3 linked regions of the Drosophila melanogaster genome follow. The protein of the gene in region 1 interacts with the protein of each later gene in a pairwise test. Each region holds a gene or a part of one and is shown in the gene's direction. Other genes may lie near its edges.

Evidence for each region. The genes of interacting proteins can lie anywhere in the genome.
Region 2: the proteins of bcd (region 1) and Mst84Dd interact in a two-hybrid assay, tested with the Drosophila melanogaster proteins (2 studies listed by BioGRID).
Region 3: the proteins of bcd (region 1) and CycK interact in a two-hybrid assay, tested with the Drosophila melanogaster proteins (2 studies listed by BioGRID).

The regions. Positions count from the first base shown.
Region 1 is NT_033777.3:6,754,460-6,761,907, reverse strand, and holds bcd (bicoid), read left to right. Parts: upstream 1-2,441; 5' UTR 2,442-2,636; coding exon 2,637-2,801; intron 2,802-3,338; exon of another isoform or gene 3,339-3,360; coding exon 3,361-3,436; intron 3,437-3,476; coding exon 3,477-4,435; intron 4,436-4,947; coding exon 4,948-5,232; 3' UTR 5,233-6,066; downstream 6,067-7,448. UniProt on the Drosophila melanogaster protein: Segment polarity transcription factor that provides positional cues for the development of head and thoracic segments.
Region 2 is NT_033777.3:7,362,807-7,365,618, reverse strand, and holds Mst84Dd (Male-specific RNA 84Dd), read left to right. Parts: upstream 1-1,845; 5' UTR 1,846-1,928; intron 1,929-1,980; 5' UTR 1,981-2,002; coding exon 2,003-2,221; 3' UTR 2,222-2,312; downstream 2,313-2,812. Other genes in the region: Mst84Db (Male-specific RNA 84Db), read left to right, coding at 114-338; Mst84Dc (Male-specific RNA 84Dc), read left to right, coding at 1,090-1,257.
Region 3 is NT_033779.5:22,124,143-22,132,370, reverse strand, and holds CycK (cyclin K), read left to right. Parts: upstream 1-2,228; 5' UTR 2,229-2,647; coding exon 2,648-3,850; 3' UTR 3,851-7,431; coding exon of another isoform or gene 7,432-7,589; 3' UTR 7,590-8,086; downstream 8,087-8,228. Other genes in the region: CG3651 (uncharacterized protein), read right to left, coding at 7,432-7,589, 8,155-8,228.

The DNA.
Region 1 (7,448 bases):
CAAACGCATTTAATTTTCATATTTCCAGCCTGATTCCTGATCAGCCCCGGGCCAAGTTTCCCCCTAAAACCCATCGAGGTTAACCCGGCTTTACTCTGCGAGATGATTGATGACGACGCTGTCTGTCTGGCGAAGAAATTCCCCCGAAGAGCGACGAAACTATGGCCACAGTTTCTGGAAAATTAAATCACATCTTAAATCGTTTCGGTGACTTCTGCTGAAATGAGGCCGTTCCCATGGGAGGACAACTGCATCTGTCGTCCGAACTTGGACCCCCGCACTCTCACTCGTACTGCCCATCTGCCGGAATCCTCGTCGCTGAGTGCACATTCGAATCAGATAATTGTAAATTGTGTAAAATAATAAATTTCCAGTTAACTATCAACGGACCGCATAGGGCGCTTCTATTCCGTCCCTTTCTCGCTGCCCACTGACGGCTCTCCTTGTCCTCAGCTGCATCCCGGCAGCGTCATTATGACCATTGCGGCGATGCCTCTTGGATGCAGGTTCAGGTCCTGGTCCAGGTCCTGGCAGGTCCGGCTGCTTCATGCAACGCTCGACTTGGCCCGACCGAACTGGACACACACCGAAACCGAACGAAAGAGACGGCTAGACGGCGTGCGACAGAGAGGGCTGCCGCTCGCATTCAGGCGCAAGCGGATCCAAAACAGAAAATGTCAAATTTTGTAATTTATTACCCGAATCCTGTTTCTGTCAGTGACTCTTTGGGTGTTTCGCTTCAGCAGCGGCACACACGGGGGCATTCAGCATTCAGGGTCGCCGAGCGGGGAAGGGAGAAGTCCTTTGTCACACACTGCGTCTGAATTTGTGGCCCAGTTCCGCACAGTGGTATCTAGCAGATACTTTTTGTAATATTTGTAAGAATGCACAGAACTTCGTTACATTCAGAGATTTCTAGTTTCTAGTCAGATGACTAAATACAATATTATGTGTCAAAGTAATTAATTTTGTTTTTGAATAAATTTCTAAAATATCAGCTTGCCTTTAACGTAAATATAGCCTTTTCTACCTATCTTTATCTGATATAAAAAAGTAGCATTTGAAATGCTGTTGTTGCAATGGTATCGAATTGGTATTAAAGCTCTGGCCCTGTTTAATTTGTATTTGTAGTCAGAGCAACCACTGTACCTTTGTGTGTATCCTTGGGCTTTGCCTATGCGAACGTATTTTGTTTGCCTTTTGGCTGCACTCCGACTCCGTCGACTGGAGTGTCTGTGAATTGACTTTTGTTGCCAGTTGGCAGCGGCAGAAGCAGCAAAGCCCGGCCAACAGCAACAAGCTCCTGCCAGATCCCAAAAGCAAACACGACAATTATTTGGCAAATGTCATTAAAAAATATTTCACTTAAGGCCTTGCGACACTTGCTTAAAGGTCAACTGGCTCGTTGGGTGTGTTTTAAAATGTTAAAGCTTGGGCCAATGCACTGAGCAACTTAATGCTTGTAGATATTTACACAATATTCTTCAACGCTAAACATATCGAATTTTCCAAATATGGAGCCTGAAAATAATAATTGCCAATCCTAGCTTAACATCAGAAATGAGTAGAACAACTTAAAAAAAATTAACAAAAGAATCGAACGCTACAGCTAATTAACTCGACAACTGGTTACCTTTTATTCTTCTAATACATTTTATAATGCACTGCCTAACAGGTACATATAGCAAGCACTATATGCTGTCTTACAAAACGATTATATGATATTTTCTTTCGTACGTAGCCGTTTGAGATCATTTGGAAAAACAAACTCGATCTCCACCATCCTTATTCTTTGTCCCAAGTCCTTATATATCTCGCGATACTAAGATTGAATAATGTAGTTATTAATAGCGGAAGTATGTAACAGAATAAACTACAAAGTGCACATTTTGTTCAATTCAGGCTGGACTGGACTGGAGCATATTAATATTATAATATTAACAAAAATTCAAATTAAACATTCGACACTTGTCTAATTGATTCCTAAATTTGGGGTGCCTGTTTGTTAATTAAATGTTAATATTATGAAGTTCCAAACAGAGCAAAGAGTTTAAGTTTAATTGGTTCTACTTATTTGTTACAATATTCAAGCTTTTTTTTATTATTATTCTCAAATGCAAATCTCTACAAATAAATAAACCTCCGACGTTTTAGAACATTCACCTTTTGTCAGTGAGCACAACCTTTCAATACAGCCCGACAGGGGGCTCTCTACTGCTGTCTCTTCACGCCCCCTGGTGAAAACGCTGTGCACTCAATCGGTTTGCAGCTTTGCCGTACTGTTCGATTAAAAACTTTTAAATTAGAGGCAAACATTTAAAAATAAAATGTCCAAATATTTGTCTAAAATGTATTGTAGACGCTTATTGATTTTTAAATTACTCAAAAGAATGAACATCGAGGGAGGGCCGCCAATTGTGCCATCTCTACATCTCTTCGCTCATCCCTAAATAACGGCACTCTGCAGATGCGAAGCAGTGGATCGCAAAAACGCAAAATGTGGGCGAAATAAGTTCGCGAGCGTCTCGAAAGTAACCGGTTACTGAAAATACAAGAAAGTTTCCACACTCCTTTGCCATTTTTCCGCGCGGCGCTTGGAAATTCGTAAAGATAACGCGGCGGAGTGTTTGGGGAAAATGGCGCAACCGCCGCCAGATCAAAACTTTTACCATCATCCGCTGCCCCACACGCACACACATCCGCATCCGCACTCCCATCCGCATCCGCACTCGCATCCGCACCCACATCACCAACATCCGCAGCTTCAGTTGCCGCCACAATTCCGAAATCCCTTCGATTTGGTGAGTTCCCATCGCAGCAGAGAAGGGCTCTTGTCCCAGGAAAGCTACAGTACAGATTCCCTATGGTGAACAAACAACCAGTGCGATCACTGATGACCATAAACATTTATTGAGCCGCAGCAAATGTGTTTCTAGAACATAGGGCGAAATCTTCTATTATCTTGTTTGTGACTTTTAAAGTATCGTAGCAGAATCTAAAAACCAATTGATATTATTAATCGTTACAGTTAGTATAGTATATAATTGTATATGAATTGTGGGGCATCATGTTATTAGTGATTTGCCGAAATGTTCTAAAAGGTGTTTCATTGAAATGGACGAATGTTAAACCTGTTGCACTCACACCGACAATCAGTAATGTCTATTTTTCAAAAGCCACATCTATGGCCACTGGGTATACATTATTGACTTTATACACTTCATACAACATATTTTCTAAAACAAGCATTGTTGTCCTGCATGATGATTAGTGAAAGTAATATTGCAAGATTCGGTCCCCGAAGCGAATCGTCCTTTCACGTTTTTATATAAAGACAGTGTACCCCTTGATTCTTTGAAGCTTTTCGATGAGCGAACGGGAGCGATAAACTACAACTACATACGTCCGTATCTGCCCAACCAGATGCCCAAGCCAGGTGAGCTCAAAGCCAACAAAGTCAGCCATCGTCTTATCAGATGTCTTTCCCTCAGAGGAGCTGCCCGACTCTCTGGTGATGCGGCGACCACGTCGCACCCGCACCACTTTTACCAGCTCTCAAATAGCAGAGCTGGAGCAGCACTTTCTGCAGGGACGATACCTCACAGCCCCCCGACTTGCGGATCTGTCAGCGAAACTAGCCCTGGGCACAGCCCAGGTGAAGATATGGTTTAAGAACCGTCGGCGTCGTCACAAGATCCAATCGGATCAGCACAAGGACCAGTCCTACGAGGGGATGCCTCTCTCGCCGGGTATGAAACAGAGCGATGGCGATCCCCCCAGCTTGCAGACTCTTAGCTTGGGTGGAGGAGCCACGCCCAACGCTTTGACTCCGTCACCCACGCCCTCAACGCCCACTGCACACATGACGGAGCACTACAGCGAGTCATTCAACGCCTACTACAACTACAATGGAGGCCACAATCACGCCCAGGCCAATCGTCACATGCACATGCAGTATCCTTCCGGAGGGGGGCCAGGACCTGGGTCGACCAATGTCAATGGCGGCCAGTTCTTCCAGCAGCAGCAGGTCCATAATCACCAGCAGCAACTGCACCACCAGGGCAACCACGTGCCGCACCAGATGCAGCAGCAGCAACAGCAGGCTCAGCAGCAGCAATACCATCACTTTGACTTCCAGCAAAAGCAAGCCAGCGCCTGTCGCGTCCTGGTCAAGGACGAACCGGAGGCCGACTACAACTTCAACAGCTCGTACTACATGCGATCGGGAATGTCTGGCGCCACTGCATCGGCATCCGCTGTGGCCCGAGGCGCTGCCTCGCCGGGCTCCGAGGTCTACGAGCCATTAACACCCAAGAATGACGAAAGTCCGAGTCTGTGTGGCATCGGCATCGGCGGACCTTGCGCCATCGCCGTTGGCGAGACGGAGGCGGCCGACGACATGGACGACGGAACGAGCAAGAAGACGACGCTACAGGTCAGGCATGAGTCCACAACCTTTTTTGATCTCTTGATTCTGAGTGTGGCGTTTATAAATTGAAGCTTTAAGCTTTGTAACTTTCAAACTGTCTGGTTTGAGATGTTATTCTGAAAGTACTTCTATTTCCGATCGATGAGATTTGGGAGTTCTCCAATATTTAACATTTAACTTATTAAGTTTTTGTTTTCTAAATTAGACATGGCATTTCTGAAAGGGAAGTACAAGTGTTAAAGATGTATTTTAATATAGAATTTGTATCAAAGGTTAAGATTTCAACCGTTTGAAAGCCCTTAGTTTTCAGGGTTTTTTACTTTTTTATTCATGTAATCACTCTTAATACACTGCAAGTTAAAATAGCATTTCTTTGACCAGAAAAATAAGATCTATGCATTTTAAAAGTGAAAACAGACTCATATGCTGATGAACATTTTTAGCTATAAATTGTAACAATAATTTAGCAATTTCAATCGAATTTATTTATGTTCTAAATGCGTTCGCTCTCTCCCTAGATCTTGGAGCCTTTGAAGGGTCTGGACAAGAGCTGCGACGATGGCAGTAGCGACGACATGAGCACCGGAATAAGAGCCTTAGCAGGAACCGGAAATCGTGGAGCGGCATTTGCCAAATTTGGCAAGCCTTCGCCCCCACAAGGCCCTCAGCCGCCCCTCGGAATGGGGGGCGTGGCCATGGGCGAATCGAACCAATATCAATGCACGATGGATACGATAATGCAAGCGTATAATCCCCATCGGAACGCCGCGGGCAACTCGCAGTTTGCCTACTGCTTCAATTAGCCTGGATGAGAGGCGTGTTAGAGAGTTTCATTAGCTTTAGGTTAACCACTGTTGTTCCTGATTGTACAAATACCAAGTGATTGTAGATATCTACGCGTAGAAAGTTAGGTCTAGTCCTAAGATCCGTGTAAATGGTTCCCAGGGAAGTTTTATGTACTAGCCTAGTCAGCAGGCCGCACGGATTCCAGTGCATATCTTAGTGATACTCCAGTTAACTCTATACTTTCCCTGCAATACGCTATTCGCCTTAGATGTATCTGGGTGGCTGCTCCACTAAAGCCCGGGAATATGCAACCAGTTACATTTGAGGCCATTTGGGCTTAAGCGTATTCCATGGAAAGTTATCGTCCCACATTTCGGAAATTATATTCCGAGCCAGCAAGAAAATCTTCTCTGTTACAATTTGACATAGCTAAAAACTGTACTAATCAAAATGAAAAATGTTTCTCTTGGGCGTAATCTCATACAATGATTACCCTTAAAGATCGAACATTTAAACAATAATATTTGATATGATATTTTCAATTTCTATGCTATGCCAAAGTGTCTGACATAATCAAACATTTGCGCATTCTTTGACCAAGAATAGTCAGCAAATTGTATTTTCAATCAATGCAGACCATTTGTTTCAGATTCGGAGATTTTTTGCTGCCAAACGGAATAACTATCATAGCTCACATTCTATTTACATCACTAAGAAGAGCATTGCAATCTGTTAGGCCTCAAGTTTAATTTTAAAATGCTGCACCTTTGATGTTGTCTCTTTAAGCTTTGTATTTTTAATTACGAAAATATATAAGAACTACTCTACTCGGGTAAATTGTGACTAACTACACATAACTACATACTTAGCCCATATTTCCGTCCCTTTCTAGAATGAACGAAAACAGTATCTGGTTTTCCCGAAAATCTTATGAATTTAAAAATGCACTTTATTGCACATACTCACACATGCCTGCCATAAAATATGATTCGCGATTTTTCCGCGAACACCCGCGGATCATAAAACATTTGCACCAGCTGCCTGTGTTTATTCACCTACCTGAAACCCATACTCTTATCGCCTGATCCTCGCGCGGTCGCACTATTTAGGTAGACACTGTACAGGCAGCACTCGCGGGGCGCCGCCAGGCAACTTGTTGCCCCTATTTTCTTTGATATAAGTTTTGGGAAATCCAGAAGTCCAATAACGGGGCCTATATGAACGAATATTGATTGGGTTTCTCCCAGTTATAGAGTTTTTATTGATCTTGGGCGCGTTTTAGTAGGTGGATTATGGATGTCCTGGGAAAACCAAGCTCTGAATCCATTCTTACTTATCACAAGACTTGTTTTCCTGTGCCCTTCATCACACCTAGTTTAACTACTATAATTAATAAACTACTTTTTAATCCGCCATTTATGAAGATAATTTATAGCATCTATGCATCTTTCAAATATCGCGAGATATCGCAAAGTATTCATAAATTAGTTTTTTATTGATATTGTAAAGCTTTTTAATTTGGTTCAGGTTTTTATTGTAAATACTTTTCACAATTGTGCACAGTGACCCATTAACATGGTTGCGATATTAACTTAAGACTTAAACAAGTTAATTAAGAGTTTTAGCACTTCTTTTCAAAAGATCATGTTTTAATTATGTTTTTAAATGAATCTTTTCGACAATTCTAAAAATATTATTTCGAAAATGTTAATTTTCATATATAACCTAAGTAAAGATATTTTCAACTGTACCTCACTCTCGCCGCGACATTTCCACACGGTTATCCTGTTATGACTTTTCCTTTGTTCCAACGTATTTTTAGCGAATTCTCGGAAGGAGAAAATCCGATAGCGCCAGTAATAAAATTTGCGAACAATTCCCTAGTTCGAGGACTGAGGATGGGAAGGCCTATGGACCGGAGACCCGAGACAGATTCGCATTCGCCGCGTCGGAGACTTGAGCATATACTCCTTGGAAACAAGCAGAGCCATAAACTGTCCAAATCGAGCATGAAACCCCGAGGAGCATCCTTTCTCACAGCGCTGCTTTCATTGCATTATGAGGATAATTGCGGACGGCGAGCGACCAAAAGCCGCGACAACAGCTTCGGTTTCACTTTCAGCGCCGCCACCGGAGGCTCTTTCAACAGGTGCTACAAGTTGGACAACAATCGCCTCGGATCTCCGATCATCATCAGCCCGTCTACCTGGCGAGACTCCGGCTCTTGCGGCCC
Region 2 (2,812 bases), 610 kb from region 1:
GAAATATTTTTTCGTCCTAAGTTATTTCTTTGTTAGGTTCAAAGTGAGTATTTCTCAAAGTGTAAGCATGCGAAGTTTTAACAAAATTTTTCTTAGAACTTTACGGAACCATCATGTGTTGCGGACCCCTTGGATTCTGCGGACCCTGTAGCCCGTGCGGCGGTCCTTGCGGACCTTGCGGACCCTGTGGTCCTTGCGGTTCCTGCTGTAGTCCTTGTGGATCTTGCTGTGCGCCTTGCGGCCCTTGCGGTCCTTGCGGTCCTTGCTGCGGGGGCTGTGGTCCATGCGGGCCTTGTGGACCTTGCTGTGGACCTTGTAGGCCATATTGCGGGTGCTGAACAACAACCACAACATGTAAAATATCTTTTTCCTGTGAACCACAAAGTGGAACTTAGGACTGAATGCGGATAAACTCTTCTTAGCTCGCGGGCCTAGTCAATAAAATAAGAATTTCAAAATACCTTTTCCGATGGTTTTTCTCTTCTAAATGGTGCAACCTTTGTCTTAGCTATGGATACCAAATGCGTGACAATAATAATTTATGTAATATAATTGCGAAAATTAAAATTGTCAATTCTTGGTGGATTGCGATCGTTAGAGGGGGCGGAGGAACATCCTACGTTCATATCGACTAGGCTTGTGATCCAGCTCAAGAATAAATAACCTTTTCTTCTATTCACTATAGCATAGCTATTACTCTACGAGTGGCGGGTATAAAACCTGCAACCGTGAATTTAAACCTCATTCAATAATAGTATTTGTCTGCAAACGGACAAATGTCCGATAACAATAATTCTATAACAATAATAACTATTTTTAACCATCAACCGCTGTACATAAACATAATTCGAATTCATAGTAGGCTATGGAAATCGTTCTTGACCTGTCAGACCCACCTAACCTTGTAAGTTCGGAAAATATATCATTCTCATCTCGACCCTTGTGCTGCTCGCATCAAAATTTTGTTGTTTTGTCCCAAATACTTGTTTTTTTTTTTTGGCTTCTAAAGACCGTTGGTAAAAATGTTTATTGTAAAGTTAAAATAGTATACATATTTATTTCGTTTATTTTAGACTTCTCGAATTAATCATGTGCTGTGGACCTTGTGGATCGTGCTGCGGATATTACTGCTGTGGTCCCTGCTGTGGACCTTGTGGACCCCGATGTGGGCCGTGCGGATCCTGCTGTGGACCCTGTGGACCCTGTGGACCTTGTTGCGGACCATTTGGCAGTTGTTGCGGTGGCTGTTGGTGCTAAATGCTCGCAATTGGCAGCCGAATCGATTTGTGAAACCATACCACAATCCCACCATGGTTAAACTAACACCTGAAAGTTAAAAGCCACAAATATATATATATGTATCTTAATGCAGATCCATGTTATCATTGGGATAGTTCACCATTGCTCTTACTCGGCGTTACTCGTTGACATAATAGGAATGCGTTTCGTAATATGTATGTGGGTGTAGGTTTCTTGATCAGGAACACTAGCCGGATACTAAGCGAGCAGATTGTATTGCGCTGCGAGCACAAGTTGCTATATGGAAATGGTTGAGACGTTCTTGGTAATACCATTTTATTTTACACGAATGACGTCTCAAGGTGATTGATTCTGCCTTCCGACGAGCTTCACTAGGACGTTCTTTGTTGTTCCCATCTGGATCAGTTGTACTGCTTGCTACGGCAGGACATTTTCTTAAGCACGTTATTGTAAAATTCACTAAAGAACAAAATTAAATTCCTTTTAGGGCATTGATATAAAATTTTTATTAATTTTGCATTTGTTTATTTTAAATCTAGAAGGCTTTGAATCTATATTCTACTTTCCTGTGCAAGTTCTATGTAAGCAAACATCAGTTTTCATCTTTCCCTTAACCCAAGAACATCAAAATTTGAGCTCTTTTCCAAGCTTTTTAGGTTCAGCACTTTGTACGTAGTTTTTTATTTAAGAAAATTGTTGGTATAATAGCTTTTCTTTTAGTTCTCAGAAATTAAAAAAAAACATGGGCTGTGCACCGGGCGGACCTTGCTGCGGACCCTGTGGACCGTGTTGCGGACCCTGTTGTGGACCCTGTTGTGGACCCTGTTGTGGACCCTGTTGTGGACCTTGCGGGCCCTGCTGTGGCCCCTGTGGACCTCGTTGTGGCCCTTGCGGACCCTGTGGACCGTGCTGTGGCACTATGGAAAAACGAAATGGCCTTCAGCGGTGCTGTCCTTTTTAGCTGTGATTTCCCGAATAAGCAACCAAACTGTGTCCAAAAAAAGATTTCATTAGTCTATTGTGACAAATAAAGGGGAACTATGAAAACTATCAAATTAATGGATCTTAGCAGGGAGCCAATGTAATCATTGCAATTTCATTCATTCACACTCCGTACAAGAACTATAAAGATTACTGCTTTTCCTCTGCTACCTTTGCTTCACAAGCCGATGACGAATGACAAGCCAATCCAAAAAGGCAGTAGCTGAAGAGAGAAGCAATCTCCATAGGACAATCACCATAGGACAATAGACCAGGCTAACACTGAAGCCTGCGGCAATACATTCACACACGTAATAGTTGCATTGGGCTTAAAAGGAGCAGTTGGTTTATGCCAACATGCTCAGGTAATTGGGACGATGCAGTTGGAAAATAAAAAGTAATCCTGCCCTTGCAGCAATTAAATTAGCCAAATAGGGGATGTTAATTAGTGTCAAGTACCTTGAAGTAAATGGTGCCAAAAGAGGCGTGGCCGAGGCCAATCAAAATGATTTCCAAGCAATGTTACTCATACGCCCCATGTAGCTGGTCCCAGTCAATTATTAATGGCTGC
Region 3 (8,228 bases), on another chromosome or scaffold:
ACGAAAACCAAATTTTTGGTTTGGAGTTTGAAAACTCAAGTAGGTCCCAAACATTGATTTTGTTTTAAACGACCCCGTTGCAACTCATGATCCTCCAAGTGGTACCCTGGGTACCGATTTCAAAATTTTAATCAAAAGCTAAAAGCAAAAAGATTTTTAATTTGACTGCTAAGTAACGGATATGTAATAGTCGGGCAACTTGATTATTGCGTCCTCTCTTGTTTTAATTTGATGTCGGACTATATTTAAATACCTAAAAGCGTAAAAATAACTACATATTAATGCACAAACAATAAAATTGAATGCATACTAACTTTTCTTATGCTTAAAATATTACAAATGTGTGTATATTATTAGTTTAAGTTTCAAATTAGTGAGTAAATGAATTTTTCACATTTCTTTATCTTTAAGTCATTTTTGAAAGGCAGGTGGTAATTGTGAGCCTGCACTAGTTTTAGGAGATAATAATTACGTGTTTATTTTAAACAAAATCGGAAGGTACTAGTCAGTAAGCATTAATTATTATTTTTTAAATAAGGCAAATATGTATATTTTAAAATATGAAATACATGTATGTATGTCCGTATAAATAAAACCGTGAAATCAAATGTCGATTAAGTCATTTGACATAGCCAAGCCAGGAAATTTGCGGCTGATCCAAAAATATCTACCTGAGTGTAGCATAGGTGGGATAAATTTGGGCAATACGACCAAGATCGTCATCGTTCTCCAATTGGGAATCCTTCCGTGTACGCCGAACTGGTAGGCTGGGCATCGCTTAGCTTCGAACCCAATTACGAATATAGCAAATTTATACGCGGTATTTGTAGCTTTCCCAGGATAACAACACAATCCGCATAGACGGAATCTGCGATCAGGGGTGATCAAACGTTAGAATTTGCACAACATTTGGGTTTGTTTACCTTTTTGAAGTTCGAGATCGTAATTGCTTGTCTTGTGAGACGTAGATAGTTTTCAACGTTGGGGGTACTCCGGCCTTGGTTGTTAACCGCAACCAAATACTTAGCATGCAATTGGCGCAGTCGAATGACGGAAATTCACATTCCCTAAGTGCTCGTTAAATAGAAGTTAAAATACTAGAATTGTATACATATACTGAATCACTTGGTGAAAGAAATATAAAATGTTTGTTATCACTGATAAATTTTAATATACATTTTTAAATTCAATCAAAGTCAATTCCATATTATCTGTACTTCATTAAAAAATATAATATTATTAAAACAATACGATCCCCACCGGCGTTGTATATTTTCACCGATTTTACGTGTTTCATTCATTCTTGAGTTTCCCCTGATACGTGTCTGCGTGCTGCTGGATGTTCTTTGAGTTTTGTAAAATTTTATTTAAGTCAATGATCACTTGAGCGGTAAGGTTTGAAAATATGTTCACTAGCCTAAGTGCATGATTCAAAGAAAAATATACATAACATTTTCTACGTTAAAAAGAAGCATCTCGACTGATTTGGTTGTTTCGCTCTATCAAGCTCACGTTTCGGTTTTCCATTATTATGTAATTTGAGTGATATATATCGATTTTTAAGAATTTAACACACATTATAGAAACATAAAAAATATAGAAACATAATAAAATTATAGTGCCATCACTCGCGTTTATATTAATAATAAAAGAAAGAATACTATAGTCGAGTTCCAAGGCTATCAAATAACCGTTACCAGCTAGTGTGAATACAAACGCGAAATTGCATCAATTTTATGGAATATCGATAGATAATGGGATATAAAATGATAAAAAATTTCAAAATTGTTCCAAAGTGTGGCATTAGGGCGTTAGAGTGCGCGTGGCAAAAATTTTATTGACAAATCGATAGAAATTAAAAAGACTAATTAAATTATAGTCAGATCGACTAGGATATTGGTCCTGATCAAGAATATATATACCTTAAATGGTCGGAATACGAAAATACGACTAACGGTTATAATAAATTCATCACCACATTACTAGAAGTAATTACTATTAAATAGAAAGCGCTTACACTGCTCATAATCTTGTTATTACATTTTATAATGTTTAACGAATGCTATCTATGCTTTAAATTGAAATACTTGTTATCCAGTAGGATTATACATAATGAATTATTTCAATATACCATTTAACAACAAAACAAATTGCGCAATTCCCATCACTAATCCCTATGCTTGGTTTGATATCTCCAAAACATGGAAATGCGATTCCAGTGTAAACATCCCATTTGTTCCTCGTAACAGTCAAAGGACGGCCAAAACCACGTGTAAATATATCTGTTTAATTATATCCCAAAATTAAGTCACCAAAACTAGCAAACGCACAAAAAATATTCAGTTTGACCCGCAAGAGATCGAAAATTTTTGCGTTATCTATTTACCAATAAAGTTGTTCCATATACTCAAAATCGTCGTGGTCTTGGTGTAAAAGGGGCTTCCAATAAAGTTTTTTTCTTCATCGTCGTAGACATGGTAACACTGCAAGTGAACATAAAAATCGAAAACTGATTTATTTACAATAAACAAAAGCGCTTATCGGCTCCAGGACGCGCATATGCTGACAACCATTTGGCTAAAGGTTTAACACAAATTCCTTCCAACGACGCGGACTACTGGTAGTACCCGCAGCCTAAATTGCCGCGATGCCGTGCTGGTATTACGACAAAAAGGAGCTGCGGGAGACGCCCTCGATCTTGGATGGAATAAGCTTCGAAACGGAGCGGCGGTACAGAAAAGAAGGTGCTCGATTTATTATGGAATGTGGCACCAAAATGGGCTTGGGCCACAACACGATGGCCACCGGCGTTGTATATTTTCACCGATTTTACATGTTTCATTCGTTCCGGAGTTTCCCCCGGTACGTGACTGCGTGCTGCTGCCTGTTCTTTGCTGGCAAGGTGGAGGAGACGCCAAAGAAGTGTCGCGACATTATTAAAACTGCGCGTGGCATCCTTACCGACAATTACTTCTACTCGTTTGGCGACGACCCTAAGGAGGAGGTGATGACGCTAGAGCGTATTCTGCTGCAGACCATCAAATTCGATTTGCAAGTAGAGCATCCTTACACCTTTCTCCTAAAGTACGCTAAGTGTTTCAAAGGCGACCAGCAGAAGCTGCAAAAGATGGTGCAAATGGCGTGGAACTTCGTCAACGACTCTCTCAGCACAGTAGTTTGTCTACAGTGGGAGCCGGAGATTATCGCCGTGGCTCTTATCCATTTGGCCAGCAAGCTAAGCAAATTCACTGTGCAAGACTGGGAGGGCCGCCAGCCACAGCAGCAGCGTTGGTGGGATATGTTTGTGTCTGATGTAACGATGGAAATACTCGAAGACATCTGCCACCAAGTTCTGGACCTGTACCAATCAACCCAAAAAGAAGCGCTCCAGCCAACCAGTCCGCCCCAAAAGCCACCAAGCAGAGCCGACAGTCCAAAATCCGGCAAGCTTACCAATTCTACGGGTATTGGACCACTTTCCGTTCCACAACAGCCGCCGCCCCCCGTATGTGGCAACGGTGGCGTGCTGGAAGTTAGCAACATTCAGAGCATTAAATCCCTAGCCAGTGGCGTGCCAATCATTGGTCCTAGCGACTCCCAGAACCTGTTACAGGGCCCAACACCACCAGGTCAGCCATCCGGGTACCACATTTATCATGCTCCTCCACCGCCGCCCCCGCCGGTAGTGCCTATGCCGCCGTACCCCTCTTCCGGATGGGGAGTCCAGCAGACAGTGGTCGGACACTATAGCGGGAGCGCTGCACCACCACCACCAATGCCGCCTAGCTTGCCTCCAGGAGCCAGTGGATACTACAACGCCGGTGGGCGTCCATCGCAGCAGCGCTACTAGTAGATGCAATGACTAATAAACAAGTAAAAAAAATTTGTATATTAAAACTAGCGAACCGTTCGGAATAGGATTTAGAGCGGGGATCTTCGTACGGTTCGGTTTTCTTTTTTGGTTACACTCTAGGCCCAATATTGTCCCGGGGTATTTATCAATGATTTTTATTCCCTTATTTTAAGTCCTTACCCTTTCACATGTACTTGTTAGCAGAATTTTGCTGAAATGATGTTTCCAAAACTGAATAAAACCAAATGAACTAGAAAAAAATATTTTGGACATTGGGGCACTAACAAAAATAGATTCTTATTAAAATTGGCGAAACGTTGAGACAAAGCGGAATTGGAGTAACGGCGAAGTTTATAACAGTGGAAGATAAACATGAGAAATATGTGAGAACAATTTTTCAAAAGTGTGGGCGTGGCAGTTTTGGGGGTTTTGTATGTAAAAGGAGGGGCGTGGCCAGTGTTTTTGGTATGCAGATAAAAATTGGCAAGTCAAACAATAAAACGAAGAAAAATCTAAAAATTTTTAAATAGTGTGGCGCTATGTGTCTCCGCAAACTGTATGCTTAATCTCAACCATCTAGCTTTTATAGTTCATGAGATCTCGACGTTCATACGGACAGACGGACAGTCGGAAAGTCAGATATGGCCAGATCGACTCGACTATTGATCCTGATCAAGAATATATATACTTTATATGGTCGGAAACGCTTCCTTCTGCCTGTTACATACATACTTACAACGAATCTTGCACCTTTTACTCTACGATTAATGGGTATAATAACTCTTTAGATGTTTGAATAATTTTTGGAATGATACATAGTGTGCGAAGATTGCTCGGCTATCAGAAACAACAGTGCAGTTTTGCAGTTTCCATGGACTTTATTCTTGCCCATGGTACACTTGGAATAATAACGACTGCCCAGGCTACCTCGATTCGTATGTTTATTATAAATATAATTATGTCGTAGGCCAACGGTTTCGTTTTCCAGGCTAAAGACGAAAATGTTCGAAAATAATATTATTGACTTTGTTCGATGTTCTTCAATTTAATTTAATTTTTAAATGGTGTTAAAAATAATTAATTTCCTTTTATCTTTCAAATTTTATAAAGTCGATTTCTCTGAAACCAGGCTCTTTGATGTGATACTTACCGCGCTCTGCTTTCGAAACATCAACTACTTTGTCTCAGTTCGTTGACTTGCTTCGTTACAAACGTCTCGATCTTTTCGCTAAAAGATCTAGCTGACTTTTAGTTCTCCCGCGCTCTAGGTCCAAGGACCTCTATTTCACCAAAGACACTATGATAATTTTAGTAATTTATAAATTAACTAAACAAAATAATTTTAGTTTGGTATTATTCTAGTGTTGCTTTACCGTAAGTTGGCTATATTTAGACCAGGTATTCGGATACTTCATTTTTATAACAATTGCAAATATAGTGGTAAAACACGAAAAAATTAACAAAATATTTTTGCGGTTATACATAAATTTTTCAATGCAGAAATAATTTCTCAGAAATAATAAAATATTATATAAATATCAATATGAAGAATATGAATAAGCTTTAGAGTATTACTTATTGCCGTTTTATCAAGGGCTAAATAACACATCTAAATAAATAGTGCAATAGGAAAAGGAAAGTTTTATATTATATATTAAGGTTTAAAGCTAGGGCATAATCTATTAGACTAAAATTTACATTGTGTTCTGATCACTACCCACTTATTGCCATATATGTTGCAGGAAAGGTCTTCCGTTGATGTTTTTCGCCAGAATGCTATGGTACTTCCAATGAAGCTGAGTTTTTGTCAAGGGATCTACACGTTTGTCGACCTTGTGAAAGACAAAAGCCAGTTCTGACTGGATTAAAAGTTTGCATTTGTTTGTGCTCTACTAGTATGCCTGGCATACAGTTCTGTACAGTTCAAGTCTTCAAGTCGTTATGATATAGGACCACCTCTGTCGAAGGGAATAAATTAAGATCGTACTTGTCAATACTCCAACTAATTTTATTGAGTAAATCTAACAGTACTTAAGAGTAAGAGTTAAGATTCACATAATATGCTTATGCCAACAGAATTGTGTAAGACAACAAATTTTGGGTAAGTGGTAATGCTATATAGCCAACTGGACAGAACATGTTTATGCCAGTAAGTCGTTCACGACCTGAAAAACGATAGTCCGTGTTGGACTAACACTTTTACCTGAAAAATAACATTCTCCTGGCCGTTGAAGTGTTAAATAAGTAATTAAAGAAGATTGAATTTTAAATTTAAAACAGCAGAAATTCTTGATTTGTTTTTTAGTAGCCGGCTTACTAACTATACGCGTGACTCGTATAGAGAGAGTATACTAGATTCGTTGTAAAGTAACAGTGACATTCATACGTGCTAGAAACTAACTTGTGAGTTTTAAAGCAACACAAAAATTTGGACCAGCAAGAAATATGTCGTTCTATACGCAGGGAACTCTTAGTAGAAACTTATCAGCTAATTCAATGTAGTTATAAACCGCTTGCAAGATCCCTTTCTTATAAAAAGCATAGAGTATAATAAAATTCTGATTGTCTTAATTCGAATGTAGAGCCTTTTTCCTGTCTTTGAGCTGGCCCACCAATCCGAGAAATATTTTTTCCAATATATGTGTGGTGTGTATCTCATACTGTTTTGTTTTCAGACATGTATATATATATAACGCTAAAGTAAGATTAAAAACGAAAGGCGGGTAACAACGAAGACGAAAGAAGAATTCAGGAAGATGATGATCAACTGAGATGAGTTGAGTTAGAAAATGTTTTTTATTATATTATTTTTATTTATATTATCCAAAAATCTGCAGTAGCAATTATGTTGCGTCACGGCCCTTGAACGACGTGCAGAACACAGCCAGCCTTATGAGAAAAGTTTAAGCACTTGGATTGCAGTCGTTAAAAATTCTTGCTGTCAAACAATTAAAAAACTGTGACCTTATGTTACCCTTGCTGGCCATGTTTGTTTTAAATAGGCTTCTGTGTCACAATTATTTCTAACGCATGGCGCTCACTCGCTAGCAAAACAATCTAATGCAAAATTCGAATAACAAAACAAGAGAGAATGCTATATATTTCCCTTATATGACCGGAAAACTATGTACCTGTTACATATGTTTCAACGACTCTAGTATACCTTTCTACTCTACAAGTAACGGGTATAATTACATATGTATATGTACATATGTACATACATACATATGTATTACGTATTCCGTAAACAAATATGCACATTACAATATAAGGCGTTGATAGGCGAGGCAGATACATATATTTGTATTGATACCTGTATATTATGGCCTACATAGAAAACATTTTTGAGCTTTAAACACCAACTAAACTTTGAGTTTCTTTATTTTCTTTTTTTTTTAGAGCGGAGAGACTTTTGAACCCGACTTAAGCGGTGGGTCACGGCCATGCGATCACCTGATTTAATATGGAAGATGACTTATTAAAAAAAATTAAACAATAAAACTGGGCTAAGCACTTCTAGAGAGATGATGTGTATCCGGCTTAATGTGAAAATAAATGAGTGGTTGTGCAAATACGTCCTAACATTTGCGGGTTAGAGTCAGTACCCCACTCATGTAATACTGCGGGATCATTAAATATTCGGGCAGGGTGCGTTTACAAAAGGAGGTTGACGACGATGCCTGTGCTTGTGTGGATGCTGCTACTGTTGCCTGACGCACGATGTGACCAACCTTTCCTGAAAAAAATAGAATGTTATTTTGTAAAAAAAAATAACAATTTAATACAATTTGAAATGACTTGTATTCTGCGTTAACCTTACAAAAATTGTTACGCCCACTGGCTAAGTAACGGAAATCTGAAATTTGAATAAATCGACTATAAGATTCTCTCGTCATTAATTGACTTCCCTAAAGTTCTTAGGGTAGCAATTATGTAGTCTCACGGACTAGCCTAATTAAGGTCAAATTGCTTCCCTCTTGCGTATATTGGCAAAATTTCATTAGTTTACAATTAAAGAAAAGAACTTGTTTAGTGTCTCTGTGTCAGGGGTAACAATACTTACTAATCCATATATATATATTTGTATATCTATCGATATTCCAGAAAAATTATGAAATTTCGCGATCGCATTTCTACTAGCTGAGTAACGGGTATCTTAAAATCGGCGAAGCCGACTATAGCGTTCTATTTTATGATTAGAAAACATTTTTCTTACTGAATATGTAAATATGTAATATATCAATACCGAGTAAAACTTTTATATACAAACTATGAAAAAACAACTCTATAGAACATCTTACCCATCACGTTTGCGCAATGAAAGCGGTCATCTAGTTGCTGAAGGAGGGAAAGATCTCGACAACGTGCCCAGGCA